Styela clava: one gene and its partners. The protein of the gene in region 3 purifies or fractionates together with the protein of the main gene of each other region. This does not show direct contact. Links are inferred from orthologs where the notes say so. Each region holds a gene or a part of one and is shown on either strand. Other genes may lie near its edges. The genes, in order: uncharacterized protein LOC120325942, GTP-binding protein 4-like and uncharacterized protein LOC120344534.

Region 1 (8,056 bases), on a different chromosome or scaffold from region 3:
GAATGGAAGTCTAAAGAAGATGACATAAAGCGTGAACATGACTTTGAAAGGAAAAAACTATCTGGCGAACATGAACATCAAAAACAATTATTATTGCTTCAAATAATGGAATTGAATAACACTGTGTCAAGGTCTGAAGCAGCGGCATCCAGAAAAGATGACGATCACAGGAGAGAAATAAGAGAATTACAACAGAGGATACAAGAATCTGAGGGACGCAATCAAGACTTGAGTGATAATGTTTCAAATACTACAAGGCCCCTCCTGAGGCAAATTGAAAACCTTCAGGCCACTCATTCATCGCAACAACGTTCATGGAATGCGCTTGAGAAAACATTGAACAATAGATTAGGGGAAGCACAAGCTGAGTTATTAACTGCCCGGGAAAATGAAAGAATTGCACAGAATGGTGCCATTGAAGCAAAATCAAAAGCATCTGCCTATGAAAAACAAGTTGAAAGTGCTCAGAACACTATATCTCAGCAACTTAAGGAAATAGATATATTGAAAAATAAAGTTGATGAATACAAAACTCAAACATCTCTGGTTTCTGAGGAATTGGAAGAATTGAGAATTTTACAAAAAGAAACTGTACACAAATCTAGAAAAGAACGTCTTTTCTTAGAAAATCAACTACAAATGGAAAAGGTACGATTGGAAGCGGAACGAAAAAAATTTGCATCACAGCATGAAGCACTTCAAAAAGAGAAAGAGAGAATGATGTGGAGTAGATCTGAGATAACTTCTGTTTCCAGCAATCAGCTTGTTGAAACCGAGTCAGTTGGAAGCTCAAATGATGCATTCCATTCTACTGAAACATTTGACAAGCATATGAGCTCTAATTCTCTCCCTACATTAGCTAGTCAATTGTCATTAGACTCTGGAAAGCCCATGTCCTCGTCAAATGTTTTAGAAAATCTTCAGACGATGATCAAGCTTCGTGATGGTGAAATAGCTCAGCTACGAGGTGACATTAACATGCTTGAAAGAACTAGATCATCAATGGCTGAAGAAATAGTTCGATTAACAAATTTAAATGAAGATTTGGAAGGTGTTTCCAAGGAGCTCCAAACCATGAAAGATAAACTTGCTGATGTTGAAGGACGTTATTCTGCAATCTTAACCATGTATGGAGAAAAGGAAGAAGAGAATGAAGAGTTGAGGATGGACCTAGCGGACGTAAAGGCAATGTATCGGCAACAAATTAATGATCTTTTAAAAGTGGATCCATCATGACCAAAAGTTTATTATACATAATCCTGTGATTACTGCATATTTCGAGTGGATAAAATCCGTCATTCAAGTTTTGTTTGAAGCTGGCATTGATAACCTTGACAAGTCTTTGTATACAAGCTGAAAACACTGATGCAAGTTTTCAAATAGAACACTATAGATTTATAATGCTTTTGTTAGAGACAAAACTATAGCTAATTGTTTAGAGAAATATCAATGCAATTTTTTATAGAAGCCGATAAGATTGCCAAATGCTTGTTAGGTAATTTGTTGTTCACTGAAGCATTTTGTATCAGTTGGTCCAATTATTATTCGCATTGGTATCCATATGGTGATTGCTTATATATTTATTCATCGGTGGCATTGTTTTATATTTTTATTATTATAATTAATGCTTTATTCTTCCAATGTCAGTGTAAACAGGCTAGCACTTCGAAAGCGAGCTTTTTTTCCAGCCCAGTCCGCAATACGACTATACCACAAGTGCAATGCATTGATTTGATTTTGCACCTGTGGCACGGTTCAGTGGTATCTGCAACGAATCGACGATTGCATACTTTTATCCGCAATTGGTGTGCTTGTGTGTGCAATAACTGATAATCATCCACAGACTAGATAGAATTGACGGGCTGCTAGAATCATAAAATAATATTCTCAGTAGACTCTCTTCGCAGATAATAATGAAACCCTTTTATGCTTTCTATTATAAATGAATATATTTATTGCAATTAATTATTTAAAAATACTTAGCAAAAGCAATTGAAGGAAACTGTAGCAATGACACGATTTAAGTAGGCTGTGGGCCTCAAGCTAAACCTTTTTCTAAAATACATTTGAAAAATACCTTTTCTAATTTGGAACATTCTTAAATTTGATTAGCCACGCAGCTTTTCACATTGTAGTATTTGATTAAGTGTGGCACGAGTCGCTAATGTAAACTGCATACTTGCACTGTTAGTGTGTCATGTCTTGTAAATCCATCACCAAAGCCAATAGCAGGTGCGAGTGTGGGTTTGTTATCACACATAGGGCAAAGCTGGTTTCTAATTGATGAAGATCTCATCCATATAATCAAGTTGGTTCTTTCGCCATATGAAATGGGCATGGCACCATGTTTGTGTTGTCCTCTGTGTAACACTCCTTCACCAACTTTGTGTTTGACTTCCACAGTCTTGTCAGACCTATTGCATTCCTGTTGAACAAAAAAACTAATAATCCCTCTTTTGGCAGAATACGAAAGAATGGGCAACTATTATTATTCAAACCCATACCTGCCTCATTGAACCAAAATATAGGCTTCCATCATCAAAATCTTTTCCAAGGCACACATTCAAGGTTACCTCTGCATTATCATAATGATATCCCAAGTCTAAATCTTGATCTTCTTTATAATTGACTGTAAACGCTTTATGAGAATCTAGTTTTTCATCCACCCAATCCGGGAATAGAATCTTCGCAATAGGGTCAAGGTAACATTCACGCAGCGGTGTAATAAAATCCTCATTGAATCCTAATTCATCAAGTAGAATCTGAAAAGCGGGAGATTTAGGCTTGTTATAAATTAATAACAACTACAAGAAATCTGATACCAATGGTACTTGAAAATTTCCACAAACTACTAAAAATTTTGCCAATTCATTGCCTCCATATCGAAAGCGTTTTCCTAGTAGATGGTGGTGATTTTGGCCAATGCAGATACGGAAAAACTGTCGGTAAGCATGCGCGTTGTTTTTTGCGCATGTGGCACCTTGCACACTGTTGGCATTTCTAATACTCACTCCACCATTATTCATTGTGTTTGGACGACCTTTTGGCATATTGCTACTTTCAAAATTGTTAAGTTCTTCTGCTAAGTTTTTGCAAAATGTCTTCTTAAAAACTGGCAATCGATATACGCCTTCTACTTTTTCTTTCTTCAATTTTTTCGACAAGCTTGCAAATGTGGCATTTCCTTCTTTAGCATGCTTGACAATGGCCAGAAATTCTTCTTTCAAATATTCTTCCTAAATTAAGAAGATTTGATACTCAATATGTACTTGATGCAATTGTATTTTTTTTATTCCTGTTTTTGGACATTTTATTGCAATAATATATCATCTGATGCATATATAACATCATACCTTCAAGACATTCACTTTGTGCAAAGGTGCATAACAAGCCTTGATTTTACTCTTCCGTTGTACTGATTGTGCATCTATATTTTTTCTTCTTGTACTCTCTTTTTCAAGTACAAAAAGCAGTTTATTCTTCTTTTCTGGGGTGGAACACCCTATTTCCTCTAAGAGCTATAAAAAAAGAGGCTGATGGTATAAATAAAATCAAAGTTCAATTGATAGTATTATACAAGATTACATATAAACAAAACTGAAATTTAGAAATCATGGAGTGGACAAAACCTTGGGTATGTTTTAAAATAGAAGCATAAACAGAGATTCTTCGCTCACTTACCAAATATAAAGGTATGTATATACAAAACAGGAATGAAATTGGGTCAATATTGAAGTATTATCTAAAGTTCTTGCCCCAAACCAGCAAACAATATAATATTTGGACACCTGACAAATATACTCACTTTAGAATTTTGCTGAATAAATTCTTGACCGTTATCTTCAAACTCAAAATGTTTCCCATATTCAGCAGAGTAGAAATTTCTGGTAAAATAACATCTGCAGCGGAAGAAAACACTAGGCTCTGAGCCAACGCTCATGGTGAATTGTGCCATTACCCGGTTAGTTCAGTAGGTTGCACCGAAATTGTAACAGTGTCATTTTTTCTTTTGTTAGTTTGTTTAGAGTATTTTGAATTAAATGCAGCATACCGAGATATATATATATATATACCATTGAGGAGTTAAGTCTTGAATGAGTCTTGTTTAGCCATGTATGTAACAAACCGGACACACCATGTCCGATTTTAAATTGACTCCTGCGTTATTGCAGCTACCAAACGGCATGTTCCTGCGTTCATCTCTGGGTTATGTAACCATTGATTGATGACTGTCAATGATGTAATTGTAACTTATACCTCCAGAGTGGTGTTCATCATCTCTCACCAGGCATCCGGCTGCTGGGATTGATATCATGAATCGTATCAAAATAATAGATACCGGTAGGCTAACCTGGAGAAAGTTAAAAAAAAGTGGTTTGGGTACGACCGTGCGGTGCCTGTACCGGTAATGGATGAATGTGTTCGTATGACTGTATGAATATATATGCAGTTTTTGGTGATTTTTTGTTTGTTTTATAGTGGTACGGTACCGGTATTGGGTTCTGTCTGGCTGTGTAGTTTCGTTCCTACAGACCTAAAGTCTGAAAGTAGCCTACTTCTAGTGGTGGTAGCATAACATTCTTTGCATATATCAATCCCAACCCCCACCTGACTGTGTCATATATGGCTTAGTCATGGTGGGGTTGTATGTATGTATGTTTATTCGTCTCGTAAAAGCAATATAAAAGAGTAAGTAATTATAAATACTGAAGACGGGATGTATGCACAAGACCATATTGGCCTAAAACACAGATCTGCGGCATACACCCCTTTTGATATATATAAATTATAATAGGGTAAATCAAATATGTACAATATGGTCCTTTATACAGGCAGTTGTGCAAGGAGGGTGGGTGGATGTCAGGATGTGGTAACAGGGATAAGGGTGGAGTGTACAAAACTGTTTGTACAAAGGAGTTTGTTAGACAAAACAACATCTATAAATAAAGACACAACACAACATGAAATACACTGGCATATGAATATAGTAATAAAAAATTTTTTTTTAAAAAATTAAGAATTTGGATGAATGTACAACACCATTGAGTGATGATACCACATACTATAAAACGCGGGAATAGTTAAGTTTAAAGGGTGTGTACATATATGGTATGCACCACTCAAGGGCGATAGTGTTATAAGTGGTCTATGGCTGTTCTGGCCAAAATGTGACCCTACAGGTTTTGGTGAAATATGATAAAGGTATGTATCAGGTATGTATATGATAAAGGTATGAGATTGATCGTTACTAGAAATACTTGAGGTACGAAACTACACAGGATTTCACGCTTTGGCGCTTTTTTTAACCTGCACTTGAATTTTTTGAAATGGTTCGAAGTTGTATGTAAGTTGAATTGTCCCAACCTCACAGTTGAGATATTTTGAAAATATTCAATGTTTTCCGTTTTTTGGTATTTTTTCATGTAGTTATTGTTTTACATTCAACTCTTGTACAACTGTACAATGAAAATAAATATCTGAATCCAGCCCTATTTTGCATCTAAAATTGAACCATACCGGTCCTATTAGATGACTGTATATTAAATATAGAGACCTAAATCCACTTGGACATGTATATCTAATATTTGTATAGCCTTTATCATTGTGATAGTGTACGTGTTATTTCAATATGATTGTATATATATAGCCCTCGACATTTTTATTTAATCTAGATGTAATTTTTATACACTTAATACAGTAATAGCGATACAAGTTTTATTGGCATTTCTGTACCAGAAATTTCCATTTCCAATAAATCCTATTAATTATAATCATGTATTCAGTATAAAGTATTATTCTAGGACAACAGGACAATAATACTTTACTAATAGTTTTGATTTGTAACAACAAAAAATGGCCAAAACTAAGAAAAGGAATGAAGGAAGGATAAGGAAATCTGCATCTGGAGATAATCCAGGTATGTACATCAATGTGCAAAACTCTTAGGAATAGCATGTTTCTATCAATAGTACGCCATTTCTGAACTGAAACTAAGCTATCTAATATTTTAATATACAGTATTCGTATGTTCAATTGGCAATCCAATTTATACTGGTTCGAGAATGCAAAATACGCAATTACTACTTTATTATTTGGGTATATGGATCCTATAGCACAAATAATTATTATCATGTAATTCCTCTTGTTTTCGAATTATCCAGATTTTGGGATTAATTTACCATATTATGTCCATTTCACCCTAGATTCAAATTTAAGTACAGTGGATATATACAATTGTGAATAAATATATTTTTGTGCCTTCTTAAAAATATACAGACCGAGCTAAAGAAGTTGGCAAAGGAGGTCAAAATATGAGAACAAAGGCAACAATAAAGAGACTTAATATGTACAGAGGTGGAAAGGCTGTGAGGTAAAGTCTGATTTTGATTAATTAATGTCTATAATGGTTACCACTAATTTGAAACTATGTTTTTATTTCTTCTTATTGCACATTTAATTTAACTCATTTGTAGCTCGTCTCATTTATAACATCAATCTTTCTAGAAATCGTAAAGGAAAAATTGTGAAACCTCCTGAATTTCAAGGAGAGCTTCCATCTGGTACACAAGCACGAGTGGAACCAAACCGAAGATGGTTTGGTGAGTTTGAATAAGTTTATACTTCATTTTAAACTGTCTTATTTCACTGAGACATGAAGAACACATATTTTACTCAATAAATAGAATTTTAATCTGGCAATTGTTAATAATTTTATGATAAAATTAGTTTGTCTAATTTATGAACTTTTTTTTTGTGGAGGTGTGACATAATTGCCCTTAAAACAAACAGTCATTATTTATGACAACCACTATATTTTTTGAAGAAAGGAACAGTTGCGTATATTTCTGGTCTCTCACAGTTTGTTAAATTTTATATAATATTTATATGTTTATGGAAATATGGTTTGGAACAGGTTTATAACATATTAATCAGTATTAGTAAGGCCTCGGCTCGCGACACTGTCCAGAATTAGGCTGTTGAAACATTGGGCCAGGTCAGCCCTTATTCATAAATTCTTTGGGAAGTTTTGGAATTAAGATTATTACTTAATTGTATGGGCTATAAGAGTTTTGTATTCTATTGCAGGTAACACAAGGGTCATCGCTCAAAAAAATCTTCAGAGATTTCAGAAAGAAATTGGAAATGTTATGAAGGATCCATATCAACTTGTGTTAAGAACTGGGAAATTACCAATGTCATTATTACATGACAGAGCCAAGGTAATAATTTATTTTGTGTGTGATTTTGAAAATTGAACAAAAAATGAATAACTTTTTTAAGGAGAAATCACAAAAATTTTAGGTGTACGAGTATTTTGTTCAGCATTTTATTGCTTCAAATCACCTTAATCCATATATACTGGGGCCGATAGTGACATCATACTTCCAAGTTCCATATAGTTTTAGTTGCATCTGGTATTACTTTTCTTCACTTCAGAAGAAGCCGGTTGGACCTTTCTTGGGCACATTAGTAATGAATATCTGAAATTTTAATTATGCCAAACGAAACTTACACTATTAAGCCAGTAACAAACTGAAAAGTCACTGTACCTAACAAATTCAATTTTTTCTTATACAGAATGCTCGGGTACATATTCTTGACACTGAAAGTTTTGGGTCAACATTTGGGAAGAAATCAACTAGGAAACGTCCTAGTTTAAAATTTACAGATTTAGAATCGTTGTCTGCTGAGGTGAGATTATTTTTAGGTAGAATTATCGAACATGTTCTAATCATCTAGTATTTTTTTGAATTACATCTTTTTCTTCCAGGTTGAAAAATCGTCAGATCTCTATAAAGAAGAAAAAGATTTGGATTTAGTACGAGAGGATGACGGGACAAAAAATGTTGTTCTTGGTGCGTACTTCACTGCTGGGCAGTCTAAGCGCATTTGGAATGAACTGTACAAGGTATGATTATATTCAGAACAAGAACAGGAGTATGAACCACAGTGTGCTACTGAAGGAATGTTGAATGATGTTTGGTATCATTTAGCTATTCTAGCTAGATAGCATGATGTTAAGATTTTGGTTGATAGTGTGGAAGTGCTCTAGTGG
Region 2 (7,269 bases), on a different chromosome or scaffold from region 3:
CAACGGGCCGGATTTGGCCCGCGGGCTGTACTTTGCTCATGTCTGGTCTAGACTATAGTCTAGCATATGCAGAACCGGAATCCGTCCTATTCAATTCTGTTGAGACATGTTCATTGTATTGCCGATAATTTTATTCTTCTATTCAATTATTTTGAAAGTGTTTTTCAGATGTATTCAGTATTGTCAAGATGTTTCGAAGCAATTTTAATTATTGTATTGTATGTTGCCGATAATTTTATTGTGCCATTCACTAACATTGAAATTATATTTCACTTGAATAAGACAATATATAGAAATTAGCGGAAATTTGATACAAATGGCGGTAAACCTTTCAATTTTTTTTCAATTAAAATAACGCTAGATGCAAACGTATGTTTTACAATTCGTTCTCCTCATTTCATTATTGAATATGTTATCTATCGAACACGTAACGAAGCTGTCTTACCCTGGCCTCCTTTCCGCGAGATAAATATGAAAATATCATCCTATGTAAACCCGAAACGAGTCCACCCCGCTGTCGTAAACCCGAAACGAGTCCATGCATCTGAAATGTGTGCATCGTGCTAAGCGTTAGAACAGCGTTTCCCAGCCTTTCTTGGTCGCGGACTGTTTTCTCACTGGCGAAAACCTTTGCGAACTTAAGGAGCATTTATTGCAACCGTACTCTTTGTGAAGAAGCAATAAAACCGAACATAACATAAAATTCGGAAATTCGCGCATTTACGCGTTCGTTAAAAGAGCCGACTTTTTAGTGTGTAATGGCGGTTTCTGTCGCACAATATTCAGTCCATGACGACGACGAGAATTTAAAATGTCTTTCTATTCTAATTTATTGTGTTCATGGTGGTAACTCGCCGTTGCGTCGACTTACGACAAGATGAAAACATTACTTCTTTAAAATGCCACGGCAATCTGCGAACATAATAATGTGAGAATATATTGCCCGATTATATTTAGTTTTGATACGTAGTTTTTGCGATCTCGCGAATTTGTTATCGCCGTTAGAAAAATTATACTTTCTGCTGTAAAGTTCCAGATAGTACAACTTGATTTAGCACTTAAATTATATTTAAAGTTTATTAGTAAATCAAAAATACATATTCATCACCTTGCTTTACTATTAAGTTAATTGTGATGATTTTAATATGCAATTGTGTTGACGAAATAAAAACAATACTAATCAGAAAATATTAATATGGTAAAGTGCCCGATTATATTTTGTTTTGATTTGTATTTTTGTGAATTCGACAAATCTGAGCTGTTCGTAGGTCGTACAACACTTACGGCGCTCCAGTACTGTATGTACCAATGTGGAGACTAAGGCAAAGAATCCTGAGGTAAATGCCCTGGTACGTATACCACGGTAGCACCCGAAATTTGGCGATTTGCAATGTTCAAAAAAGCGTTTTTAATCGGTCGCGGATAATCATAAAACAAAACTGATGGTGTTATCCGTTTTATTTTTAGTGTTTTGTATTGCCGCTTTTCAATTTAGAAAATTTGCGTTGCCACCATTGACACCTACCAAAAAAGAATGATTCCTCGTTGTTCCAACTCGCGAACTCTATCGAAGCGTGAGCAGACTCGTGTTTACGTTGGAAGGTGTTTTCGTCACCTGGTACTAATAGTTGAATATACTCATTAACCAGTAATTATTGACTCGAAATGTTATGTGAATAAACTTGACATTTATGTTTTATGTAAATTCTAATGTAAATCGTAACTTGTCTGATAGTTAGTTTCGCAAAGACGTTTGCGACCAGCAGTGAATTTCTGGCTCGTTGCGGACTCATTCAAACGCTTCGCGGACTCATTTGAGACCGCGGACTCGGGTTAGGAAACCCTGCGTAAGAAAAACACGCTTCGCCACCGCACCTCTAATTACCCTACGTGGGTTCGCAGGTTCGAATCCACGTAGGGTAATTATGTGCGAGAGGATTAATTGCTGGACTCTCCGCCGCTCTATCGGTTACGATCTCCCCCACCATCAAGTCCATGCTTCCGAGAACAAACATCTGGCCAACTGCTTACATATTCGACATGGACTAGTAACAGGACGATAGGCCATGCTTCGCTCGATCAATCAATCATTTATTTACATTTACATTAACCGGCTTCCTCCACCATCAAGTCCATGCTTCCGAAAACAAATAACTGGCTAACTAATCCCATAGTCGACCTGGACTGGTAACCGGACGAGAGGCCGTGGTTCGTCCTATAATTAAGCCGTCTTATCGGCTTTTTTCTCCCCGGGATAAATATGTAAATCCCCTCCTATCCTACCCTATTTCAGTAGGCTACTCTGACATAAAAACAAAACGGCACAAAAAGTAGACAGACAAACGAAATGTAGAGATACCTAAAAGGCGAGCATCACTTAAAATAAAGTTAAAAAACACTTTAGCTATATTATATGATTTCGTCTTTTTATCGGCTTTCCACTCCATCGGGATAAATGTAGATCCCATGATGAGATCTACATTCCCATCCTAAATTCCACAATGTCACACATGAATAGGTACTGATTACGCAATCGATTCGGCGATCTGTGTTCCGCGTGTTAGGTTTTTAGGCCCGAGTTTCAGGTTTTGCTATGCTATTTCTATATTTTCGAAAACTGGAAATTGAGTGAGCTTAGTGTATCCGAGTGTGAACAGATATAAGTTTTTCATCGTGAACGGGAATCTAAATTCAGCCATTCCTTACTGGCCTATCTGGCTACTTTTCAGCCTTATTAATTGAGACCCACCGAGTGTTTATGTTACACAAGTTTTGTCTTTTTATTTTGAATAGTTGTTTGTGTGCTGTGGGTAAACTGGCGCATGTATATTTACTTGTGTTAAACCTTTATAAAGGTTTCCCCGATTTTCCCAATCTTCTGTGTCAATGTGTGTTCATTGTTTGTGTTTTGTGTATGATTTTTTTTGCGGAAAAATCGAAATATACTTACTGGTATACTTACAGTCTACCGTACTTCTGGCAGTCTGGCCTGAATGCTAAAATGACTTAACGTTACCGGTAGGTACGACTTAGCCCAGTTACCAGTGCCGACGTTTTTTTCGGTCAACAATCTTACCATGGTCAATCTTACCACTGTCTGACTGTACCACGGCCTATTCCTGGAATATAATTTGATGTTGGTTAGTAGCGGCAGTGTGGCTCATCATACAATTCTCTTGTAGTTTTGTACCTAACTCACTTCTAGTGGGCGTAGCATGACCATTTTTTAATATGTCAATCCTAACCCCAATCTGAAATCTGGCCGTCCAAAGCTTACGTCAGTAGACTACAACATCACAAGCACGTCATAGAGCTTGCCAAATATACGTACGATCACCCGAAATAGCATCGTTGCCGACGATAGAGAACTAACGTCATCGAGCTCTCTCATATTGAGATCGTCGCGACGAGAAAACAAGAGAAATAGCTGTTTGATTTCGGGTGCTCGTCTGCGTGCTTTGAATGACAATTCGTATAGTTTGAAGAGCTCTATTCAGCTATTACGTCATAGTGACATAATTTTTGGATTGTGTAGTCATGTCAGCATGTGGGGGTTAGGATCGAAACATGAAAAAATTGTTATGCTACGCCCTCTAGAAGTATGTTAGGTACGAAACAACATGAGACTCCATTATGCTAAGCGTTAGAAATACGCTCGCCAGACCTCTGATTACTCTGCGCGGGTTTGCAGGTTCAAATTCCATGCATGGACGGTTATGTGTGAGAGGATTGCTGGACTCCTCGCCGTCGTTGGGGGTTCACGTAACCGCTGATCGATTAGGGCTTCCTCCACCAGTCCTGAAGTCCATGCTTCTAAAAAACAATTTGTCAAATAACTAACTAATCCCATACCAGACATGGAATGGGAATCGGACACGAGGCCGTGGTTCGCCATATGGTTAGGCCGTCTTATACTTTCCTTCCCCCCGGGATAGGTATGTAAAACCTATTTTAATCCTATTCAATTTGTCACTGCAAAACTACCTACCCGTACGGTATTCTGTTATGTTTTTGCACTTTTTGCCAAGAACGCAAAAACCTTTTACATGTCTTATGATGGTACGGAAAGAGACGCTCATTTCACAGTTTTAGCGTTTAGCCAAATATAGTCTACTCTGCCTTAGGCATATTGTCTCTATGAAGCATGTAATACAATTTCTTTGTTTTTTTCAGCATAAAATTAAAAATGGCTCTGTATAATTTCAAAAAGATCACAGTGGTGCCATCATCGAAAGTAAGTATAGAATATGGGAATAGTTCAGTATGATATTTCAAGAATAACCCTCGCATTGAAAGACATTAATTAATTATAATAGTGAGAGCAAACTCCCTCTTTACATGACAGTATAGGCCTCCATAGCGGCATAAATCGGCAAACCAGTTTTGCGCAATAAACTGAAAGTAAGAGCAATCTAAAAACTTCACCATTGGATTCTTTGGAACACTGGAACTTCTGTTTGTGCATGACACTTTGCACAAAAGTTACGTTCTCTACAGAATAGTTTCTAAATGACATTGGATCATTTTTAGGTTACTCTGTACTCTCAAGCTAAACTCATTCTCAATTTCTTTACTAATCTTTCCTTACTTATTTTCACAGGACTTCATTGACATCACATTATCAAAGACACAGAGAAAAACTCCAACTGTAGTTCATAAAAGTTATCCGATCTCCAGAATACGAGCGTTTTATTTACGGAAAGTTCGATACACTCAACAGAACTACCATGATAGATTGAGTCTGATTCTTACAGAGTTTCCTAAACTTGAGGTATTTTTATTATTATTAATTTTGAATATTGATACAGGGATGGATAAAATTGAGTGATTCATTATTTTAAGACGCTTCGCTCAGAATGATTATTTTTTGATAGAATTATTCAAGCTATGGCACCGTAGTATAAGTACCAGGTTAGGTTCCGATTCTCCTTACGAATTCAGGAAAAATCTGTGTTAGCAAAGTGAATATCCCCTGCCAATAGGTTTCAGTCCCTTCGCACAACTTGATGTGAAGTAGGCGAAAAAAATTAGTTACCTTCATATTAGTACACATACTTTTGGAGCGCCCAAGCTATTCTTAAAATCTAGAATTTAAAATATTGAATATAATTAATTTCAGGATGTTATTCAGAGCAGAATAGAAGTATATTTTGAAACACGCTTCATTTCCAACTAGTATAATTTTTGATTAAATGCTTTGGTTGATCTTTTTAACTGGTTCAACATAACCCAAAATTTGTCAAAAGTTTTTATAGATATCGTATATAATTTTGCGTTAAAAGTTTCGAAAAAAATAACGAATCATCGGCTAAAATATAGACTGTAATTCCAATGTATTATCTGCACCTAAATATAAGGCGCCACTTGCTTCGCTTGTTGTTTGGTATTTGTAAATAAACTTTTTTTTCATAGGTTTTTATTTGTAAATAACATTTTTTTATAGGTCCATGTTGAGTTTTGAGTGTCCTGCCCAGTGACCAAGTCTGTTATCTGTAAATGGTCCACTCAAAAAAGTAATCGCCCGTCTCTGGATTATGGTATTCTCATTTATCATTTTAATACTATCCCATTTAAGCATCCTTGTGGCAACTGCAAAGTTGATACAGACTAAATATTACCTTTATTCATCTCTTAATTTTTTTTTTCAGGATGTCCATCCATTTTATGCAGATCTAATGAACGTTCTCTATGACAAGGACCATTACAAACTTGCTCTCGGACAAATCAACACTGCCAAACATCTTATTGACAAGTAAGAACGTTGGCTCTAAAACTGACATGGACATTGAGGCGCAATTCTTACCACTTCATGGCAGCTCCCGCCAAAACAAACCGCGGCGTTTTTCGCCATGGTTTTATGGCGCTATTACTCTATATTTACTTAAACCTAGCCATACCTCAAATTAATCAAAAACTGTATCCATACGGAAAATGGGGGCTCCCGAAGTATGCGAACCAAGATGGCGGACATCGGAATGTAATATGTGTACTAGGTTAGGGTTAGGCCATAATTTTAGGTATAAATAATACGGGAGGCTCTTGGCTAGTCTTCGAACTGATAATTGGACTAAAATAAGGAAAATTGGAAAAAAATTATCGCCTAACCCTAACCTGTTACCCATGTTACGTTCCGATGTCCGCCATCTTGGTTCGCATACTTCGAGAGCACCGGAAAATGTTCTAACTTACCCAAAGTGTGTCATCATCAGGGGCAGTCCCGCCATTACAGCCTACATCCCTGGGTTCACACAATTTTACCAACCATGGTTTTCAATTTTCTGTTGTGATACACCACCTCACGCCCTTCGTTCGGGGACTGTGGCAGCTAAAAAGTCAGCTGCCCTGGCCTGACCTTAGCGGCCATGGTTTGGAAATCTTGCAATGGTTTTGCGGCATCTTCAGACGCCACAAGGTGCTTAAAACTGCACTTGTGGACACTGGACAAACTCCGGCGGCCCTCGTGTCAAATCCGGCCTGGTGGGTTATTCAATCTGGCCTGCCTGATGCTACCACAACCGAACTAAAACCAAATTTTTATATTGTTTCACTCAAAAATAGTTCACGAAATTTGTTGATATTGCGATTAAATTTAGTTTTGACACGAGGCTTATTGTTTTCTACTTTCGTAACACACAAATATTGTTCATAAAATTAACACAATTTGAATGTATTCGAATATTTGATTCATTTCAAAATAGTTCAAAACTTTGTTTTTTCTTTTTTCGTTTTAGATACCGCCATTGGCCAATTGTTAGGTCAATAATCAATATGACAGTTTTGGCATGTTCAATTATACCTGTATCCTATTTATACATACCAGCATCGGGCCCTTGCAGGTGCTCCACTCTTTTGGCCCTCGAATATCCTTTATACCTTCCAATTTTGGCCCCGATCAGCCAACTTTGGTCCACTGTGCCTACCACATGACACTATTCATACGTAGTTATTAGAGGTAAGATCTGGCCCAAAAATTTCAGCCCGACCCGAACTCGACTAATTAACTGGATTTGCAGGCCCGAGCCCGAAGCAAACCCAAAATTTCATATTTTATTTAGGATTTCATTGAATTGTCATCGCAAGAGTTTTGTAAAGTATGTGTCGTGTTGATGAGGCAACTTCTGTTTTTTGCAGACCACGATTTCTCGTAGCCACAACACGGCCGAAACGCCTCATTTTAAAAAAAAAGTCGGCGATAGAGTAGCCCCACCGAACCCGACCAGAACGTAATGATTGACATTTCAGGCCCAAACCGGCCCTGAATTTCGGGTC
Region 3 (7,011 bases):
GCCGTTCAAAAATTTTGTCCGAAGTTAGGGACTGTCCGAAGTTAGGCGCTTTTACGGTAGCATATTTTGTAATAAAATTTGTTATGGCTAAACAAACATCAATCAATACCCAGCCATAGCTACAGGAGCTTTACAGACATTGATAGTTTTTGTTACCTTTTCCGACATCGTATTTATGTGAGGCCAAGTTTTTAATATTGACAACTACAAAAACAAAATATTGAAGTAGGCTGGATGTAAGATACACGCTACGTGTATCACTTTCCGCCATATCTCCAAATTGGGAACAGTTAATGGTGAACAAGTACAGATATCGCATTAAATAGCATCACCTTCGTTTTGAGTATATTGTCAACATAAAATGTTAATTATTTGCGAAAGAAGTCCTAGACTTCTCGCCGCCGGTCAGTTACGGTTTCTTCCACCATCAAGTCCATGAATCTGAAGCATATACCTGGTCAAGTTATCCCATACCCGACATAGACTGATAACTGGACGAGAGGCGTGGTTTCCCACACAAATAAGCTGCCTTACCACCCCCCCCCCCCCAAAAAAAAAGATAAATATGTAAATTCTACCTCAAGGCATTTGAAACAGTAGATACATGGGCTTCTATGTGTTCTTTGTTTAAACATGGCCCTATAATTCAGTACAGTGGATCATAAGGTTTTGGCCATTTATTAGTACCGGTAAGTTTATTTAAAAAATTAGTAATTGGTAATATTCTCTAGTCTGAATTATATATCATTTTTTCTTCTTCTTTAGAGCTCTACTCAAAGAGGAAATATTACTGGATCCAGCACAATAAGCAATACAAAGCCTTTAATCCAAGAAGCCAAAAATTGAAAATAACTGTTTTGAGAATATATGAAAAAAACATCAACTTTTTTTCAACTTTTATTTAAAATAGTTCGGTAAATATTGCTGATCAAACCATGGTTGATTTCCAGTCTAAAAACCAATTATGTCTATGTAAAATTTTTAATCAATATTGTTTTCAAAATTTGCCCCTAAGTACGGAGAACTCGCCTTGTCCATTGCTTTGCTCGGAGCAAATAGCTGGTGGGTAATAAGCAGGGAGGAGCAGAAAGAAATATTTCTCAATCAACTTCGGTTTTAATTTTTTTCTTTTTGTGTTTTTTCTTTATTTTCGAGTCAACTCCCACATTTTTTAATTCCGAATTGTCAATTTTTATCAAACTTTCATCAGTAATCCCATTATCAGCATTTTTGAGTCCGTTTCTGCCTTTTTTAGATTTCTTCTTTTTTTTCTTCAGTATAGCAGCATTTTCTTCGTGATTTAGCACCAAATTATCAGCACTTTTCATTATAATTTCATCCTTCCCACTATTTTCATCGGTTTTCTGAATTTCAGTTTTTCCTATTTTATTGTTTTCTTTACAATTCCTTATATCTTTCTTCTTTTTCTTAGATTTTCCAGAATTTTCAGTGGTGTCCAGTTTTCTCTTCTTTATTTTACGAGAGTTTTCGCATTCTTTTCCAGCATTTTCATTGTCTTCATTTAACGAGATATTCACTGAACTCTCATTTTTGTCTTTCAATTCTCTTTTATGTTTCAAAGTCTTTTTTTTCTTGGGTTTTTCTGCTGAAATTTCATCTTTTTCAAGATTATTTGAAACGTTTTCATCCAATTTCAGTTTTTTCTTTTTTTTATCTTTTTTATTGACAATTTCGGAATCATTTTTTGCTGATTCAGCAGTTTTTTCAACTTCCTTTATTTTAACACCCTCTTCTTCCCGGGAATCCCCATTTGACTCCCCTTTACAATTTTTGACATCATTTTTTCCGTTTGCTGCAGAAAAAGCCGACCAAATTTCCTCCCCAAGTTTCGAATCATACATTCTCAAACTATTTTTCAAAAAATTGAGGAATTTTGGGCGTTTTCTTGGAATATTATCGTAGTTTTTTAGATTTTCAATAAGTTGTTTCGCTTTTGAGCTCAAATTTGAGTTAGAATCCGACAGAATCGAGTCAATATTATCAAGCCATTTTTGTTGCTTAACGTCACCTTTATTTGGTTTAAATTCCGTACCTTTAGCAGAATATTTTTGATCTTCGGTGATGCACGAAGTGTGGTTTTTGTAATCGTCGCCGTAAAAATCACAACTACAATCAATGCAGGTTAAATATTCGCATCCGCGGCAAGTATAAACATGTTTTTCGACTTTGTTTTTTTTTAAAGATTCTCCACAGCCACTGCAGGTATAGAAAACCATTTTCTAAAATATTATTTAAAGTCTAAAAGTTAGAAAAAAAGTTGGACAGAATAAACGCAAAAATGATGAAATGAATAAACTATTATTCCAAATACATTTTAAAATAAAATTTCTGGGTTGCCAGAATTCTCAGCCCAAAACACAAATAAGTCAATGAATTAGTTTAAAAATATTATTTAAACCAGGGATGTGCAACCTTTAAAAAGAGCGCCAAATACAAACAACTGGGTGAAAACGCTTTATTTAACAAAGGCTTACTTAAACCCAGGGGTTGCCAAAAAAATCAACTTTTTTTAATCTGTCATACCAGATACATTATGATTTTGGTCCCAAAAACAAGAATTTTAGGAATTTCCTCCCCGTTGAACATTTCTACTCTCATCAGAGCTTTAGACAGGAAAAAAGAAATGATATCTAATAATTTAGATTAGTTAGAGAATGTTACAAACTGATGAATGGTCAAAACCCAATAGTATTCTTTACCAATTACATTCTGAATTATGATGTTGAACAAGGAACACATAAAAATCAATCTATATTCAGTGAATTCAAAAAACCTGTGGGAATTAATTTAGGAAATGATATTTGTACCAAGGGTGGTCAAAAAGAATAATCTGCAATTCATAATACATTTTAAAATGAGTGAATTTGCAAAATCTGTTGAAATTAGTTTAGAAAATGAATTTAAACCAAGGGTGGCCAATAAGAATTCCTAAGCACATTTTCAAATATATTGTCGTAATAAGGTCAAATGCTTTAAATCAGAACAAGTCAAAAAGTCAAAAACAAAATTTAAAAGACGAAAGCAATTTTACTAAGCATTTTTAACAGCTCACATAACACATATGACAATGTTTCCATTATTGAAATTCGATATAATGACCCATGTAAAAACCATCGTAGATGCGATCACCAAACCAGTGGGAAAAATATAAAAAGTCCAAGCTTAATGCTGCAGATTTCTGAAAGCATTAGGCATACTTATTAAGTTAAAAGGTATCAATTCTCACTCTGGAACAAAATCTAAGGCGTGAGGATGAATGATCTCGAGAAAAGCCATAATGGCAGAGAAGTTTATGATTAGATAAAACATTCGGACATTCAACTAAGTCCCAAAAGCTCAAAATTTAATGATTCTTTTCGAAAAAAAAAAAAGTGTTGTATCTAGGTTTGGAAGTCTTCAGTATAGAAAGGAATTCCCGGGGAGGATTATTCTTTCATTTCTCCTTCTTCATCATCTTCTTCTACTCCCCGGATGTAAAGTACGTTATTACAACGAATCAATATTTCTCCGAGATGTCCTGATAAAGCCCCGTCAACATATTCTTCTGTGTTTGCCAGTTGCATGTTCATATACCTGGAATATTGTTTAAAGTTTTAACTTGAGATAAGATTTATCCAGGAGAAAAAAAACGGTCAAATTGGCTGAAATCCAGCCACAATCAGTTAGTTGTTACATGAAAAGGGGGAACCAGACTTAAAAATTATTTGAAGTTTTCAACTGAGATATGACATTTTTATATTTATCTCAAAGAGGAATTTTGATGAGACAACAAAATCATATGACAAACTGCTACCACTCAGCTCAGCGACTGGCACATTGCAGTGAAACAAAGTTCTACGATTCCAAGATTTGGTTCAATAAAACAAATACCCGCTTTGTCTCTGAAATAAGGGCATCTCGTACAATGCCAGTTGCGTAAGATTGTTTCATGTTCGTTGCGATAATAGTATAAACCAATCGTGACGACAAACTCTTGAATTCTATGTTAAACTAATTTTTTTTTCTTTGGTAAATTAAATTAGGATAGGATTTACATATTTATCCCGGGGGAGAGGAAAGCCGATAAGACGGCTTATCCATATGGCGAGCCACGGCCTCTCGTCCGGTTACCATTCCAAGTTGGGTATGGGATTAGATATATTGTTTGTTTTCGGAAGCATGGACTTGGTGGTGGAGGAAGCCGTAACCGACCAGCGGTTACGTGATCCACCCAATGACGGCGAGGAGTCCAGCAATCCTCTCGCACATAACCATCTCTGCATGGGATTCGAACCTGCGAACCCACGCAGAGTAATTAGAAGTGTGGTGGCGACCGTATTCCTAACGCTTAACCCGTTGAGCCACATCGCCGCGCTTTTTTCTGTGGATTCCAATTTTTTTAGATTCCACTTCCATTTAATTTATTGCGTAATTCCAGTTTGTGGTGATATAGAGGTGCCAGAGGTTTGCAGTCACTATTTTAAATGATGTCTTTAAATGTTGGAGGTTATTCTTGGAATCGTAGAACTGTGCCATACTTTAATTTTTTAAGGTAAAAGTTGTGAAGAAACGGCTATGTTTGATGCATCATTTTGAAAGCCATGGATACGCTTGCCATCGCATCAATTATTACAGGATTATCTGTCCTAACGGTTTCCCTATCTTCCAGGGTAAAATAAAATCTGAGCTTTTATTTGGCAAGGCCCGATTTATCCTGTTAACTAAATAAATCAGTTCTTACCCGTCCACAGACACGAGATATCCTTTATATTCCATTCCCCATTTCAGTTTCACGATGACAGGTTTTCCAGTCAATGAATTTATGAATGGTTTCGGGTTCATAGGAAGCGTAGTCATGATGATTTTCTGCTGATATCTGCTGGAAAGAAACTAGAAAACACGAATTCTAATCAACAAAGCAACTCGCGACAAACGTGCGATTCTATCGGTGGTGTACGGAGTCTGGTTTTTCTTGCTTTCGTTGATTGGATTTGTATGGTCCAGTGGTTCCCAACCTTTTCCGTTGAATTCCGATATCGTGCTCTTTATTTCTACCTCAATATACATAAAGAGCATTTCATTTATTCAATCTCCAATTGATCCTAATCCTGTAATCGTGTAAAATAGGATTATAGCAATAATAAACAACTGAAAAATATCGTATAAGTATAACTTATTATATCGTAATAATGATAATTTCAAAGTCAAGGTCCATTAGTGAATGAGAAAAGCGATTTTTTCATAAAGTAACAAGAAAATTAATAATAACAACAGAAAAATAATAAAACGAGCCATGGTTTCATTTCGTAGATAAAAAATTAAAATAATACCTATCGCACGAGCGTACACATCCGAAACGTCCACTTTATCCATACCCATGTTCTTTCAAACTTTTTTTCCAAATGACTCACTTCGCACGGCCAATTTTTTTTGTGACCTTAGGTACTAAAATTAAAATTTGATAAAACAGAAACCATTGAAAAATAAAAATAAAATTGACGATACATTCAATATGATCGATGCTCGCATATTCTCACACAAAAGATCAAATTTTGACGAATATACGTATCAATCTTTCACATTGAATCGATATTTTGTTTTAATATAGTTGGTGTTGAAATCTCTTTACCGCGACCACCATTATGTCATTTCGCGACCCACCGGTATGGCGGGAATTGATGCGTGGTCGGGACCCCCAGTTTTGAGATCCCTAATCAATAAAATTTTTTGAAGGGGATTTGTGGCAGATCTTGTCCACAAGATAAACATATTACATTCATAAAAGTAATACCAGATCTTAAATTAAAATACAGCGCAAGAAATATACGATAATTTGAAGATCTTGAAAAAGGGTATCGAGGCGGTTGCCACGACTAGAATTCAACTTTAACCCCTGACCCTACGCTCTCATTTCCGCATTTCGTGTCGTTTGCTTCCCGTACGCCGGCGTTCAGCATAGATTGGAGTTTTTTCTGTTTGAAGTTGAGACGAAATAGACAAAATGTTTATCAAATTGGTTTTCTATTTGTCTGTAATTGTAGCAGGATCATTCGGGTACCGGGATGTCGACTTTACCGTTCAAATTTCGCCGATGAAACGAGAATGCTTTTATGAAACAACCAAAGCAGGACGTGCAATGGACATTGAATTTCAGGTTTGTTGATAGCAATAGGATGTTATTTTTGTATTTATCCTGGGAGGTGAAAGCCGAAAACAGTGTTAATCATTATTACTTATCGAATTTAATCGGTAAGTATGTTGATAGGTATTTGTTTGTCTGTTAGATGCAAGCGATACCGGTATCTCATGAAAGCGAGATTGAATCTGCTCCAGATTTTGCATGTGCATTCATCATATGTCGTACTAGGAGCCTATTGATTTTGGATGAATTATGTTGTATAATTAGCGAGTTAATAATTAATTAGTGATGGGACACAAGGTGTCACTATGGAGTAAGAGCGCTGTTTTGGGGGATCCCCTAACTTTCGATTGATAAGTCTTCGGTCTCTGACCGATATTCTCGTTGTAATGGTTAACTAGTTACAGATATTTTTCTTGATGTTGGGGAACAACAGTATCGGAGTATGCAACGTTTAACAAATTGCAGAATTGAGCAATATTGTCGAATTTTAAAGAGGATAAATGCTGATTCTTTCCCAGATCAGCAGATAGCATGTCTTAGTAGTGCGATATCAGTACAGAATAAAATGAAGCTGCGCAGTAACCAAAGAATCGTAATCTAAAAACGGCATTATAGGATTTCAGAAGAAAATAATTTAATTTGCAGAAAAAAAAAAAATTGGATGTTCTTAGCAAAAAACAGTCAACAAATCGAATTTCGCTTATCTGACAACTCACTCAAATAATGATGATTGAATGATGCTTTTATTCGATGAGCTACTGCACAGGAATCAATCGAGCTTCCTAAATGTTTCATTCAGATCCCACTCCAACAAAAGTGTTGAAAAATACTAGTGGGGTCTGGTATAGTTTAGTACCACATATAGCCTA

What was found.
Region 1: the proteins of uncharacterized protein LOC120344534 (region 3) and uncharacterized protein LOC120325942 purify together in Homo sapiens (affinity purification with mass spectrometry; 3 studies listed by BioGRID and IntAct, with this or other methods). This does not show direct contact. The link is inferred for Styela clava from reciprocal best matches to the Homo sapiens genes LYAR and GNL2.
Region 2: the proteins of uncharacterized protein LOC120344534 (region 3) and GTP-binding protein 4-like purify together in Homo sapiens (co-immunoprecipitation; 3 studies listed by BioGRID and IntAct, with this or other methods). This does not show direct contact. The link is inferred for Styela clava from reciprocal best matches to the Homo sapiens genes LYAR and GTPBP4.

What each region holds. Positions count from the first base shown.
Region 1 is NC_135253.1:12,000,867-12,008,922, reverse strand, and holds the start of uncharacterized protein LOC120325942, read left to right. Parts: upstream 1-5,024; 5' UTR 5,025-5,202; intron 5,203-5,777; exon of another isoform or gene 5,778-5,801; 5' UTR 5,802-5,853; coding exon 5,854-5,917; intron 5,918-6,276; coding exon 6,277-6,370; intron 6,371-6,504; coding exon 6,505-6,599; intron 6,600-7,086; coding exon 7,087-7,220; intron 7,221-7,578; coding exon 7,579-7,692; intron 7,693-7,771; coding exon 7,772-7,909; intron 7,910-8,056. Other genes in the region: TATA element modulatory factor-like, read left to right, coding at 1-1,236; 2-oxoglutarate and iron-dependent oxygenase domain-containing protein 2-like, read right to left, coding at 2,162-2,425, 2,505-2,762, 3,012-3,236, 3,354-3,518, 3,806-3,955. UniProt on the Homo sapiens protein: GTPase that associates with pre-60S ribosomal subunits in the nucleolus and is required for their nuclear export and maturation.
Region 2 is NC_135252.1:23,062,031-23,069,299, forward strand, and holds the start of GTP-binding protein 4-like, read left to right. Parts: upstream 1-4,165; 5' UTR 4,166-4,186; coding exon 4,187-4,234; intron 4,235-4,600; coding exon 4,601-4,771; intron 4,772-5,648; coding exon 5,649-5,752; intron 5,753-7,269. UniProt on the Homo sapiens protein: Involved in the biogenesis of the 60S ribosomal subunit. Acts as a TP53 repressor, preventing TP53 stabilization and cell cycle arrest.
Region 3 is NC_135254.1:1,077,397-1,084,407, forward strand, and holds uncharacterized protein LOC120344534, read right to left. Parts: upstream 2,935-7,011; 5' UTR 2,238-2,934; coding exon 1,101-2,237; 3' UTR 566-1,100; downstream 1-565. Other genes in the region: small nuclear ribonucleoprotein F-like, read right to left, coding at 3,447-3,594, 4,742-4,857; transmembrane emp24 domain-containing protein 5-like, read left to right, coding at 6,002-6,154. UniProt on the Homo sapiens protein: Plays a role in the maintenance of the appropriate processing of 47S/45S pre-rRNA to 32S/30S pre-rRNAs and their subsequent processing to produce 18S and 28S rRNAs. Also acts at the level of transcription regulation.